Rattus norvegicus: one gene and its partners. The protein of the gene in region 3 interacts with the protein of the main gene of each other region in a pairwise test. Links are inferred from orthologs where the notes say so. Each region holds a gene or a part of one and is shown on either strand. Other genes may lie near its edges.

What was found.
Region 1: the proteins of Mpped2 (region 3) and Cage1 interact in binary tests that used the Homo sapiens proteins (3 or more experiments, as listed by UniProt). The two-hybrid records come from large-scale screens. The link is inferred for Rattus norvegicus from reciprocal best matches to the Homo sapiens genes MPPED2 and CAGE1.
Region 2: the proteins of Mpped2 (region 3) and Rxrg interact in binary tests that used the Homo sapiens proteins (3 or more experiments, as listed by UniProt). The two-hybrid records come from large-scale screens. The link is inferred for Rattus norvegicus from reciprocal best matches to the Homo sapiens genes MPPED2 and RXRG.

Annotation. Positions count from the first base shown.
Region 1 is NC_086035.1:26,994,412-26,998,508, reverse strand, and holds the start of Cage1 (cancer-associated gene 1 protein homolog), read right to left. Parts: upstream 2,804-4,097; 5' UTR 2,668-2,803; intron 1-2,667. Other genes in the region: Riok1 (serine/threonine-protein kinase RIO1), read left to right, coding at 3,308-3,378.
Region 2 is NC_086031.1:82,314,485-82,318,593, reverse strand, and holds the end of Rxrg (retinoic acid receptor RXR-gamma), read right to left. Parts: intron 994-4,109; coding exon 846-993; 3' UTR 502-845; downstream 1-501. UniProt on the Homo sapiens protein: Receptor for retinoic acid. Retinoic acid receptors bind as heterodimers to their target response elements in response to their ligands, all-trans or 9-cis retinoic acid, and regulate gene expression in various biological processes.
Region 3 is NC_086021.1:113,634,473-113,638,415, reverse strand, and holds the start of Mpped2 (metallophosphoesterase MPPED2), read right to left. Parts: upstream 2,803-3,943; 5' UTR 2,418-2,802; intron 2,319-2,417; exon of another isoform or gene 2,237-2,318; intron 2,071-2,236; exon of another isoform or gene 1,015-2,070; intron 621-1,014; exon of another isoform or gene 540-620; intron 1-539. UniProt on the Homo sapiens protein: Displays low metallophosphoesterase activity (in vitro). May play a role in the development of the nervous system.

The DNA of each region.
Region 1 (4,097 bases), on a different chromosome or scaffold from region 3:
GTTTGCTCATTTACCTTTTATAAAAACAAACAAACAAAACCCACCCAAGCTCACCAACCCAGGAATGGCCCAGACCACAGTGGGCTGGACCCTTCAACAACAATCTGTAATAAAGAAAATGCCCCACAGAAATGGCCACAGGTGGAGGCCACCCCCCAGTCGAGCTTTTCTTTTCCTGGGTGACTCAAAGAGTTTGCGTGAAGCTGACAAAACCCAGGGCAACCTCTGCCTAGCTCTACATTCTCTGCGATGTTATATTTGCATTGTTGTCATAACTCACACTGTTTACTGTTTAGTCTTAACCACGACTGACTGCAAGGGTGTTCCCATGTGCACATTATCATCGTCCGGCAAGGAGTCTATATAGTCTTTCAATACTTCAAACTGCACACAGGCCAGTGCTGTCCTATGTTGGTTCTCTCATTTCTTGGGCCTCGCTTTCTAATTAATTTAGTTTTGTGTATGTATTTGCATGTCTGTGCTTGTGATTCAAGGTGTCCTTGGAAGCGAGTGGGGTCAGGTCCCCAGGCACAGGAAGAGGGGGGGCCACCTGACCTGGGCATGGGAACCAAGTTCCAGTCCTTTGTAGGAACAGTGTGTACTTTTATCCATCTTTCTAGCCTGATTTTCCTATTAATAGTCCTCTCTTTACATCAAGTGGGATACATTAGTTCAAGGCTTTTAAAACTTTTCCCACTCACTACGTAAAGTTTACATGTGTATAAAGTAGAAATACAAATAAAACACTTACTGATAATAAATTATATAGAGATTTATTTTAAAACAATTCTTTTAATATGCATATAATTTTACCACTTGTTAAATAGGAAAGCAAATTTACATGTTAATTAGATGTGTTTATCTGACATAATACCATGCAAAGATATACTACTTTGATATTTATATGCCAAGAAGTTCAATCAGGAAAATATTAAGTCTGCCTTCTGTAATAAAATGATTATTTCTATAAGACCAGAAAACTGCAGTGTACAGTAAAAACACTGCAGTTCATAATGAGAAGTCCCAAAACCTTGGGAATAAAATTTTCATTCCCTGGACAGCAGGCTGGGTTCCTTAGGAGCCACTGACAACAGGCCTTTAGTCGATGAGCCCTGACTTAGGGAGATCCGTCTGGGCCACCTAGCTGGAGGAGATAACAAGGCCAGAACAGAGCTGGTTTCTAAAATTCTTCAAGGTCTCACCAATTACAATGAAACTAACAACCAAACAAAATTGGACTGATGTCACTGCTTTGCCCTCTACCAATCACATTAGAGGTAACCTAATCCTTTTGGAAAATTCTCTTAGTCCTTCATAAAAGGGGTCCACGAACCCCTCAGGTGGTCGCTGTTCTGATAGTTGGCCCCTGAATGCTGGTCATTTCTGCAGTAAACACTGTTTGCCTTTGCATACTGTTTTGAGTCTGGGGTCTCCCTTCAGTTATTCTTGGACCCTAACAGGAACATATAAGTGTCCAATCTGAACAGAGATATTTCGGGCCGTTTGTTACTGTGGGTTGGTATAGTGGTGAGAACAGTGGAAGTTGTGTGAGGTTATCATGGGTGAACATTATCAGGCATTTGTCAGATTCATCCCACAATTTAAATTATGAATCAAGTTTTGGGTGTGGAGAATTTATGACTCCCCCACCCTACCCCATCATGGGGCCATGATCCTCAGTTAAGAAGGGGCTACACAGTTAAACGCTGGTTGAAAATACCTGGCATTCTAGTGACATTATCAAATTGTCTCAGTCTACTCTTAGTACCTGTCTGCCCGGATGACTTTGTTAGATTACTTAATTTACTGAAGTTTTCAAATCGATGTCATCACTTGGTAAAGTGTAAAAAAACCAAGTAGGCCAAGGAAGCTAGGCGGGGCTCCTGGAGGATTCAACCTTAGGCTCATCTTTCCCATCCTACAAATAAAGGCTACCTGTGGGATGACAGGCATGTGGAAAGCCTTAAATCACTTTCCAAATGCGAAATGTTTTTCTTTTCCATGGGCCTGTGACTTGCAATTACACTTTAAAAAATGTATGTGTGTGCAGGAACCTCTGGAATTGGAGTTATAGTAGTTGTGAGTAGTCTGTGTGTGTGTGTGTGTGTGTGTGTGTGTGTGTGAGAGAGAGAGAGAGAGAGAGAGAGAGAGACTTCCTTTTTCGTTTTCATCTTTCACTTTGGTGTGCCTGGCGATTTTTAGACTTTTGTTTGTTTTACAAGAAAGGGTTTCTCTGTGTAGCTCTGGCTCTCCTGGAACAAGCTTTCTAATCCGGGCTGGTCTTGAACTCACAAAGATTCGCCTGTCTCTGCCTCCCAAGTGCTAGGAAAAAAGGTGTGCACCACCACCACCACCACCACCACCAGGCATGAGTTAAAGCCGGTTTAAGATAATAAGGGCTTGTGAGATGGCTTAACAGGGAAACGCGTGGAAGACCAGAGTCGGTTTCCGGAGCCCAAGGTGGGAGGAGTAAACTCTCAAGTTATTCTCTGAACTTCACTCATACGCATGCATACACACGCGCGCTCTAGATAATACTTGACACTTTAACATTTAAAAAACAGGCAGAAAGAGGTATGACGAGAGTTCCTGCCAGACGCAGAAATTTGAATTTCCCAACTTTAAAAAAACAACCACTTGTCTCATTTGCATCTTAAAACAACGCACCAACGTTTCTAGAGAGCAAAAGTGTGCTCACTTCCATGATCCATAGAGCTTCTGTGACTCAGGCTAAGGATTCCGGGTTTCCTCCCAGCCCACCGACTCTGCGGGAGGGAGAACACCTTCCAACCGTCCCCACCGAGGGCACCAACTGGTGCGTCGCAGAGCGCTCGAACGTCCCAGTGTGACGTCCTCTGGAGTGCACAGGAGTCCAGATGAAGGAGGTCAGAGGACGCAAGTCTTTCGGAGCAGTCAGGGAATAACAGGCTGGCTTTCTACGACGGGAAACGCCGTGGTGGAGCAAGAACCATAGCAACGCGTGCTACACATCCCACTCCATAAACAATGCACCACGCCCACTTCACTTCGCGGATTGGTCTTTCCCGGCCACCGTAACGCGCATGTTCCCTGAGGGCACTAGGGCATGGAGAGGTACTTCTGGTTGCAAACTTCCGGCCTGTCGGTGGCCGCCTTTGCTGAAACCCGGCATCCTGGCACCTCGTGGCCCCTGGTCCTTGCTTTGGGCCTGGGGGTTGCCTAGGGATTTGAGAGGCCGGGATCTCGGAGACGCGGTTGGGTTCTCTAGGTGGAAAGTCGTCTCTTCCACTCGCGGCCTGCGGGGCTCCGAGGGCTTACCCCACTAGTCATGGACTGCAGTCTGGATAGGATGGCCACGGTGGTCCCCGGGCAATTTGACGACGCGGATTCCTCAGACAGGTAGGCGGCCGGAGATGACACCTTCCTCCTCAGATTCCGCCAGCTCCGCATTCGGTCCGGGGAGCTGACACCTGACAGGTTTGGGTTTTTCTCGGGGTCTGTCCTCATAACTGGGCAGTTCGTGAACGCTACCTTCCAGTAGTTCCCAGAATGTTTATCAGAGACTCAAGAGTTGGGGACAACTGAGAAACGTCAGGCTCTTTTTTTTTTTTTTTCCTTACATACAGGGTTCCACTTACAGTCAGCAAAGTTTTACCTCCGCGGGCGATAGTGATGATGAACAAGACAAATCAAGTCTCTACTGTCTATTTGGAAAGGAGGGCAGACCAAGAGGCCAGCGCCTACAGCGTAGCCGAGAGAATTGAGGCAAAAAGGGAGACCAGCCAGGTAGAGACTTAAAAGTGGCTGTGAGGAGTTAAGATACTGTTCAGGTCTTATAGGCTTTTAGCAGCGACCAGGCATCATTTGATTTATGAATTAAAGGTACTGGTGATTCACGTAGAAGATGTTCTTGGAGAGAAGGAGTGGAGCAGAGACCAGTAAAAAAATAAATAAATAAATAACCAGGTTCAAACATGATGGCTCCTAGAACTACGATCATAGAACGACTTCGAGGTGCTAGCAGGGTTGAGGTTTTGTGGTGAAATTGGATGTGGGGTCTCAAGAAAGCAGTGACAGAAAACTTCCCGCTAAAAAGAAAATCACACATAGTCATTTTG
Region 2 (4,109 bases), on a different chromosome or scaffold from region 3:
TTTGTCCTCTACAAATTTTTCTTTAATTCCTAAGACTGGACAGGCACAAAGCACCCCACTGGGCGTGGTCCTGAACCATTTTAAGGACTTTCACGGAGTCACAGAAGACTCAGATCTGGTTGTTTGTCCCTGCAAACTAGCCATCTTTTATAGGAATGAATGGCCCACCTATGAAGTAGGATGGCCTGAGGAGGGGACTTTCCATCTCCCCATCATTGACAGGGTGAAGGTTCAGTTTATGAAGCTGGGGGCCACCCAGACCAAGTGCGATGGGCCTCGCCATTCCCCACCCTTCTTCCTCTAAAGGAAGGTCAGCCTCAGCCCCCTGGCTTGCTCCCCCTTTCTGCTCCCTGCGAGGCGGATCTCTGTCCCCCTCCTTATGTTCCTGCTCCTGCCCAGCCAGCACAGGAAGAAGGGGGTCAGCCTCTGACCCGAGCCCCCATCCTCCACATCCCAGAGAACTTCCCAGCTTCACAACAACACAACACACCCTCCAAGCAGTGCCAGTATCGTATTTATTATTTTCTTTTCCATTTGTTTGCTTTCCATGGCAAGTGAAAAAATAATTTAAACCAATTATATGTACAGAGGCTTGGCTACTCTTCCCAAGAACTGCCAGAAAGATCTCAGCCCCTTAAGTAGCAAAGAAGGGTCACCTTTAACAACCATACAAAACTCCACCTAGAAAAGTCTCATGTGTAGAAAGGTTGTAGTTATTACAAGCATCACATTTTGGGGACAGGAAGGGAAGTCAGAGTGGGAGACGGGGGACAGTGTGCAGGGTAGGGCGACACACACACCAGCCCAGGGGTCACTCTGGGTGAGGAAGCTACAGCCGAGGAGTTTCAGGTGATCTGCAGAGGGGTCTCCAACATCTCCATGAGGAAGGTGTCAATGGGGGTATCCCCAATGAGCTTGAAGAAGAAGAGGTGTTCCAGGCATTTCAATCCAATGGAGCGCAGAGCTGGGAGGCGCAGCAGAAGCTTGGCAAACCTGTAGGGAAGCCAAGGGGCATTGTTACCAGGGGATGGTAAGAAGAGACACGAGCTGTCAGTGGTGGAGAGTGTCTCATGGGTCTCCATCAAGCTTCAACAGAAACGCGGGGAAGCAGAGATAAGAGGAGTTTAAGGAGTGCAACCCTGGGAGCTTCTAGGAACGTCAGAAACCAGCTAGAGGGCTGGTTCGTGTTAAAAGAAGAACCGGGATCCCACAGCATGTTGGCAGTCTTGGAGTTTATGACATGTTCCAGAATAGCCCTCAGCACCCCCATCAATCATGGAACTGTACACTGACATTGCCTGCCTTGCCGGCCATTTCCCTGCACTCCTCGGGGTCTGCCAAGATTAGTAGTGGGGGCCTTAGGACGGGGAGTGACACATGAGGTGCGCTGTTCTCAGGACGGCTATCAGCACTAGATGAATAAAAGTGGGGACCTGCCTGTACCAGGCGTGACCATAGACACTGATTTTCCTCTCAGTCTAGCTTGTCTCTTTAGACTGTATGACCTCGGTCTGCTTTCAAAGACAAGTTTTCCGTTTCAATTAACCAGTCACCATGAAGTTCTACGACCAGCATCCGCCTCTGAGCTTCCTATTACGTTGGGATGAGGAAGGGGGAAAGACTAGTAGTTGACTTCTGAGAAGCCTGTCTGTTTCGGGAGAAAATACACTTACACTCATACGCACTGATCACACGTCCTCACACACACGGGCTGCTCCCATTAGTCTCACACATGCGCACAGTCTCTCCTTCATTCTCACCTCCTCCCTATTGCGGTTTGAGCATGGAATATATCCGGTAGGCTCATGTATATTTACGCTGGTCTCCAGCTGGTGGCGCTGTTTGGGAAGGTTGCGGAAATTTTGGGAGCTGGGGCCTCACTAAGTGAAATGAGTCACTAAGGGCAGGACTCTTTAGAGCCTGGCCCCTCTTTCATTTGCAATCTGCTTCCTGCGTGTAGTAGGATGTCACCACCTGCCTCCTGCTCCTGCACCAGGTTTCTCTGCCATGATAGACAGGGTCCCTCAGGAACCGTAAGCCAAGATAAATCCTTCTCCTCTAAGTTGCTTTTGTCAGAGCATTTTACCACAGCAACAAGAAAGACACCCCCAACATGGGCTGGCACACCTACCCCTCACTTACACATACACACTCACAAACGTGTGTGTGTGCATACACACATTTTTGCATATGCACATTCACACCCAGGCTGCCGTACATACACAGTCTCACGTGTGTGTGTGTGTGTGTGTGTGTGCGCGCGTGCGCGCGCACGCGCGTGCAAATATCCTTACTCTCACATGTAGACACACTCTAACATTTGTCCATACTTGCTATAATGGGGGTGTTCAGTATGAGTCCAGAGAAGGGAGAAGTAGCATGGGAAGAGTTGGGTGTCATTTGTATAGCCCATTATGTCCCTTGATTTGAAACATGCTTTGATTTGCATATGCAACTTCAGTTTTTCATTTTAAGAAAGTTTTGAATTGGAATGTCATTGTTCCTTGGAAATGTGCATACCTCTATATTCATGTCACATGATGTTTAAAAATACTGCATTAGGGCTGAGGAAATACCTCTGTCAGGAAACTGTTCACCACATAAGTGTAAAGACCCGAGGAAAAGACAGTAGAGTGTCTCTCGGGCTAACTAGGCAGCTGACCCTACATAGTCTATGAGTTCCAGACCAGTGAAACACCTCTATCTATCCATCTATCTGTCTGTCTATCTATCTATCTATCTATCTATCTATCTATCTATCTATCTATCTATCTCTATCTCACACACACACATGTACATACACACATGTACATACACACATAGCCAGCACTTATGAAATGACATCTGAGATTAACTTCTAGCCTCTAAATGCACATGTATGCACACCTGGACAGACAAATGCACCTATGCCAGCATACACCCAAATAAGACAAAAATTATATATATATATATGTGTGTGTGTGTGTGTGTGTGTGTGTACATATATATGTATATATATAAAATAAATTGACACCAGACAAAGAGCCTTCCCTTTAAAATGCAAAGTTAGACTGAGATTAATTCTAGCACCCTGTAAAGCTGTCAATATTACACAGTCTCTACACACATATACTGTTGGCACTGGGTTTGAGAACAAGGCCAGGGCTAAAGGAATGAACCAGTGCATCAGAAGACTCTGTCCCTGCATTCCTGGCTGGTATATCAGGATCAAGATAGTCCCTTGATAGGGACTTACTGTGTGTGCAAGATGTGTGTGGGTTCTGTACCTGGCTTTGATTTCTGCTTCTAACTTTCTCAAACTTGGGCCCTACAGGGTGTACTGCTAAGTCCTATCCACAAAGTGGCAGCACTCCACTGTGGAAAAAAATGCCGTGACTGGGCAGTGCCAGCGTGCAAGACAGACCTACACCGAGTTAGTTACCTGTCTAACTAAGCCAAGTGATTCCTCTCAGGCACGGGCCCAACCTCCTGTGAGCTCAGACAGAAAGATCACCCCTTGTCCAAGGTATGCTGGAGACAGAAGACACCACCTCCCTAAATTGGAAGAAGAAAGCTGGCTTTTCTCCCCAGCATCTAGAGCCTCAGCTGGTTGAGACCCTGTGAGTTGAGATCCTTTGCGGGGGGGGGGGGGGTCGTCACATATCAGATATTTACATTATGATTCATAACAGTAGCAAAATTACAGTTATAAAGTAGCAACAAAATAGCTTTATGGTTGGGGTCACCACAACATTTGAAACTGTATTAAAGGGTCTCAGCATTAGGAAGGTTGAGAACCACTGGTTTAGAGGTAGCCGTGTTCTTGGCAGTCTCTTCCAGGAAAAGCATCAGTTCTAAAGTTTTTAAAGTGATATTTAGAGGGACTGGAGAGAAGGCTCAGAAGTTAAGCACTGAATGCTTTTCCAGAGGACATGGGCAACACATGGCAAGTTACAACTGTCTGCTACTCTCCTTTTTTTTTTTTTTTTTTTTTGGTTCTTTTTTTCGGAGCTGGGGACCGAACCCAGGGCCTTGCGCTTCCTAGGTAAGCGCTCTACCACTGAGCTAAATCCCCAGCCCCTGTCTGCTACTCTAAGATCTGACACCCTCAGACATACAGGCAAGCAAAA
Region 3 (3,943 bases):
AAGCTGCAGGACTGGAAATTTTCTTTTCCAGGAACCCACTTGGAAACCTCTTAAAAGTCTGCTGGCAAGGAGGGGATTAAAAACTGAAGGCTTAAATAACTGTCTGCACCTCCTAGACACCAGAAGTCTGATTTACCTAAACTTTCAAAGCGACAATTTTTGACCTCTGTACTCGAACGCTGCCTAAGCCAAGCCCAGAAGAAATGAGTCCTGGATTTCGCTGTCCTTGTTTAAATAATGGTGCTCATTTGAGTCAGGAAGATAGCCACCTCACTTACTGGATGGAGGGACTTTAGAGCTCGCTCCCGGTGCAACCCCGCCAAATTTCATTCTCTCCTCCCTCTGCCTCGCGGACCGAGAACCTTGTAAACTCAGGCCCCTACTCTTTTATGCCCATTTCCAGTTACTCATTCCCGCATGCGGGAGCGATGCCCACACTCTTTCCCCGTGGTTGTACCGCTACTTTATTTTTCTGGAGATGCTAAAAAAGTTCCACGTGCCTCTGTCCACTAAGCTCCCTCCCTTCCCTTCACACTTACACCTGAACTTGTCTCCAGCACTGCTGACACCCAGCTGGCACATTCTTTCAGAGAAGGAGGGCACGACTTTTCTCCTGAGCCTCTGACAAAGCGTGGGGTCTATATATGGTGGGGCGCGGGGGGGGGGGGCTGCAGAATTCTCTACTTTGGATTGGTTTGTTTGTTTTAAATCTAGGGTGGGCAGATGGGGTGGGGGGCTGCAGCTACTACACACACACACACACACACACACACACCACACACACACACACACACACACACACACACACACACACACACACACACACACACACACACACACACACACGCCCTGCTCTGTCAACCGCTCTCCTTGCCAGGTTCTGGCCACAACTCCCTCCTCATTCCGTAGGCGCTGAGTACCCGATGGGCACCGCCACCGCCACTGCCGGCGATGTTGGCAGCACTAAGGACACTAGACTCACTCCCCCAGGGTTGGCTAAGCATTTTCCCCCACCTTCCTCTCTCCCAGCGGGGCACCGACTGAAGACCGCCGTAAAACACGGGCTCTGACGTCGTTGCCATCCTCGGTGCCGCATCTTAACCCCTGGTCTGGGACAGAAGCCTCCGAAGCGCCCTGGCATCTCCAAGCATACAGGCAGGAGACCGAGTCCGCACCCTGAACAACCGCCTCCTCGCTGAGTCCCGGAGCTGCCAGGCACCTCCCCGGGAACGGCTGGGAAGGGAAGGGATCCAGCCAGCCATCGGGCTGCAGAGGGAATGTGGAGGCCACAGCCTTGCCCCCTCTTTGGAAGTCTTTCCCTTCCAGTTAAAGTTGTGTTTGTTTTCCCCACCCTGACTTGTTAGTGTCTTTACCATCACAAATCAATTAGACATTTTTCATGACCCGCATTCACTCTTAATTCCGGGTGTGTTGGGGGTGCGCTATAAATCAACCCCCGGGCTCATCTTTCCGTGCTCTTGCTGGGGGATTTCAATGCCCTCTCGAACCTCTAGGTACACCTCCTAGGCCGCAAAAGCCCGAAATTTAAAAGATTTTTAAAGACAATCTTGCCACATGTAAATGTAAATAGGGGTGGCGGTGGGGGCCCCTCACAACTACTGCTTAGGTAGAAAAGAAACTGGGCGGCCGCGGTTACTTTTCCACGCTGCCGTACCCCGCCTCCCAGCCCTCTCGCTCGGCAGGCAGCGGTCGCCGAGACCGGAGAGTAAGGTCCGGGCGCGGGGGCCGGCGGAGAGCTCCGCGCTGGAGCGCTATGCGCGCGAGCGACCGGAGCACAAAGCTGCACGGAGCCGTCCGGCCACTGCACCTGGCCCGGGGCCGCCGCGGGCGCACGGGGCTCGGGCCAACACAATGCACCCGGGCCTAGGCCGGGGCAGCTGCCGCGCACGACCCTGGGACTTTCTAGTAAACAGATCTCCGACTCCCCGGCCCCACCCCCATCCCTTGCCCCGGGGCTTTAGCCGCGGGCTTTCGCAGACAACCTCTCCCCCGGCACCCCCGCCGCCACCTTCCTGAGAAACCCGGAGAAGGAGGGGGCAGGGAGGCGGGGACCCCGAGAGGTCGGTGGCCGAGGGCTTGGGGGGAAGGGAGAACAGGGGGCGAGATGGGGAGTGGGAAGAAGGGCAGCTACGCAAAGAAATTCGCTCTCGCTTGCGGGGGCTTCGGGGGAAACAAATCTGCTCTCCCCGGGTCCTCTAGTGTTCAGTCCGCCAACCTCAGGGTCGCGGGGCCGCCGCGCTCCGCAGCTCCCGCGCCCTCGCACGCGCCTCTGACAAGGCACCTCTCACCCGGGCTCCGCTTTGTGTGTGCATTTTTTTTTCCTTCCTCTCGCGCCCGGCACCGGCCGCCTCCTCCCCCCTCCCCCGCCCTCCGCCTCCCTTTCCCGGGCGGATTACCTTTCCCGGGCTGCGCTCCGGGTCCCCGGGATGCCTTCAGCGCCCGGTGTGCGGGCGAGCCATCGCCAAGCCACCCGAGCCGGCTCGGAGCAGCGCTGGGGGTGGCAGGGGCGAGGGGCTCGGGCGGGCCAGAACCTTCGACCCCGGAGGTCCCCGCCGCTGATCCAGGGCCTGGGAGGGCAGCACTGGGGCGCGGTGCGAGCGGGACGCGGGGTCGCTGCGGGGGGAGGTGGAGAGGACCGGAGCAGCCTCGATCTGGGGAGAGAACGAGCGAGGGGGCGAGGAGAGACAGCCAGGGCGCGGCGAGCGAAGGGAGCGCGAGCGGTGCAGTGACAGGGACTGCCACTGGGGTCAAAGGAGCACAGCTCCAGGAAGCTGGGCCGCCCAGGCGCCGCTTGCTGCGAGCTCCCCGCCCGGACCCCTCGCCCTGCACGCCCCTGCCGTAGTTCCGGCCCACTCGAACCCCCCACCCGCGCCCCGTGGCCGCGGGGTTTCCAGGAGGGGAGGGAGAGCGGAGGGCGAGGCCCGCAGGCTGCTGGTGCTCCCTGGGTCAAGCAGGCGGCAGGAAGCAGAGCTGCAAGTTCACCATCGTGTGTGATCAGCGTTAAAATGATAGAGGTCGGGGAGATGGGGGCGGGCCACTAAGCGCCAGGAATATAGGGGAGACCCCCAGATGGGCGTCTTCTGCAAAGAGAATACCAAGCTCCCGCCCTCCACTCATGAACCTGCCAGGCTCTGTCAGAGGTCTTGGCACAGCTCCAAAGCGCAGAACTCGCTGCAGGGGCAGAAGGAGCGACAGGGGCACTAAGATCTCACCAAGAGGGGCGACCCCTGGGTCCCTCAACTCAGCTGAACTGAGGCTTTCCTGCGGGGTATCAAGCTCCCCTCTCCTCAACCCTCTCAAAGCGCCAGACGCACACACACCCCTCTTTGCCTCTATGTTGTTCCTGAGAAAGAAAAGGCCAACCCAGCTGGTGTTTTTTCACCTTCATGAATTAAGACAGGTTCAGGATAAGAAGGTGAAGTCAGGCAAAGGCTTTAATTGTTTCCGCACCCCCACCCCCACCTCCTGCGCGCCCCTTTGAATCACATTCTCCCTTTCCCAAAGACCTGCTCTTTAAAAAAATGTTTTTAAATCGAAGTTACTCCAATTTTCTCTGCTACTTTGGAAACCTGGCGGGGAGGGGGCTGGAACCCTAGGAATTGTATGCAAAGGGGGGCGGGGCAAGGATAGAAAAAGCCGCTGAAATGGTGGGACAGAAGACAGAAGGCTTTTTAGAAAACTTGGTTGGCACGGCTGTCTGAAAGATGAGGTGGCCCTGTGATGTTATGCCACTGTCAGAGCTGAAGGATTTGGAAGGCGACCAGATCTAATTCCTTTCTAGGAGTCAGACTCTAAAAAAAAAAAAAAAAAAAAAAATCACCATTCTCCGAAGGGAACAGCAGTATGCACAGGAGAGAAACGTGTGCTTTGTATACTATGTGACAACTGACTAGACGTCCTGGCTGAAATTATATCCCCTAAA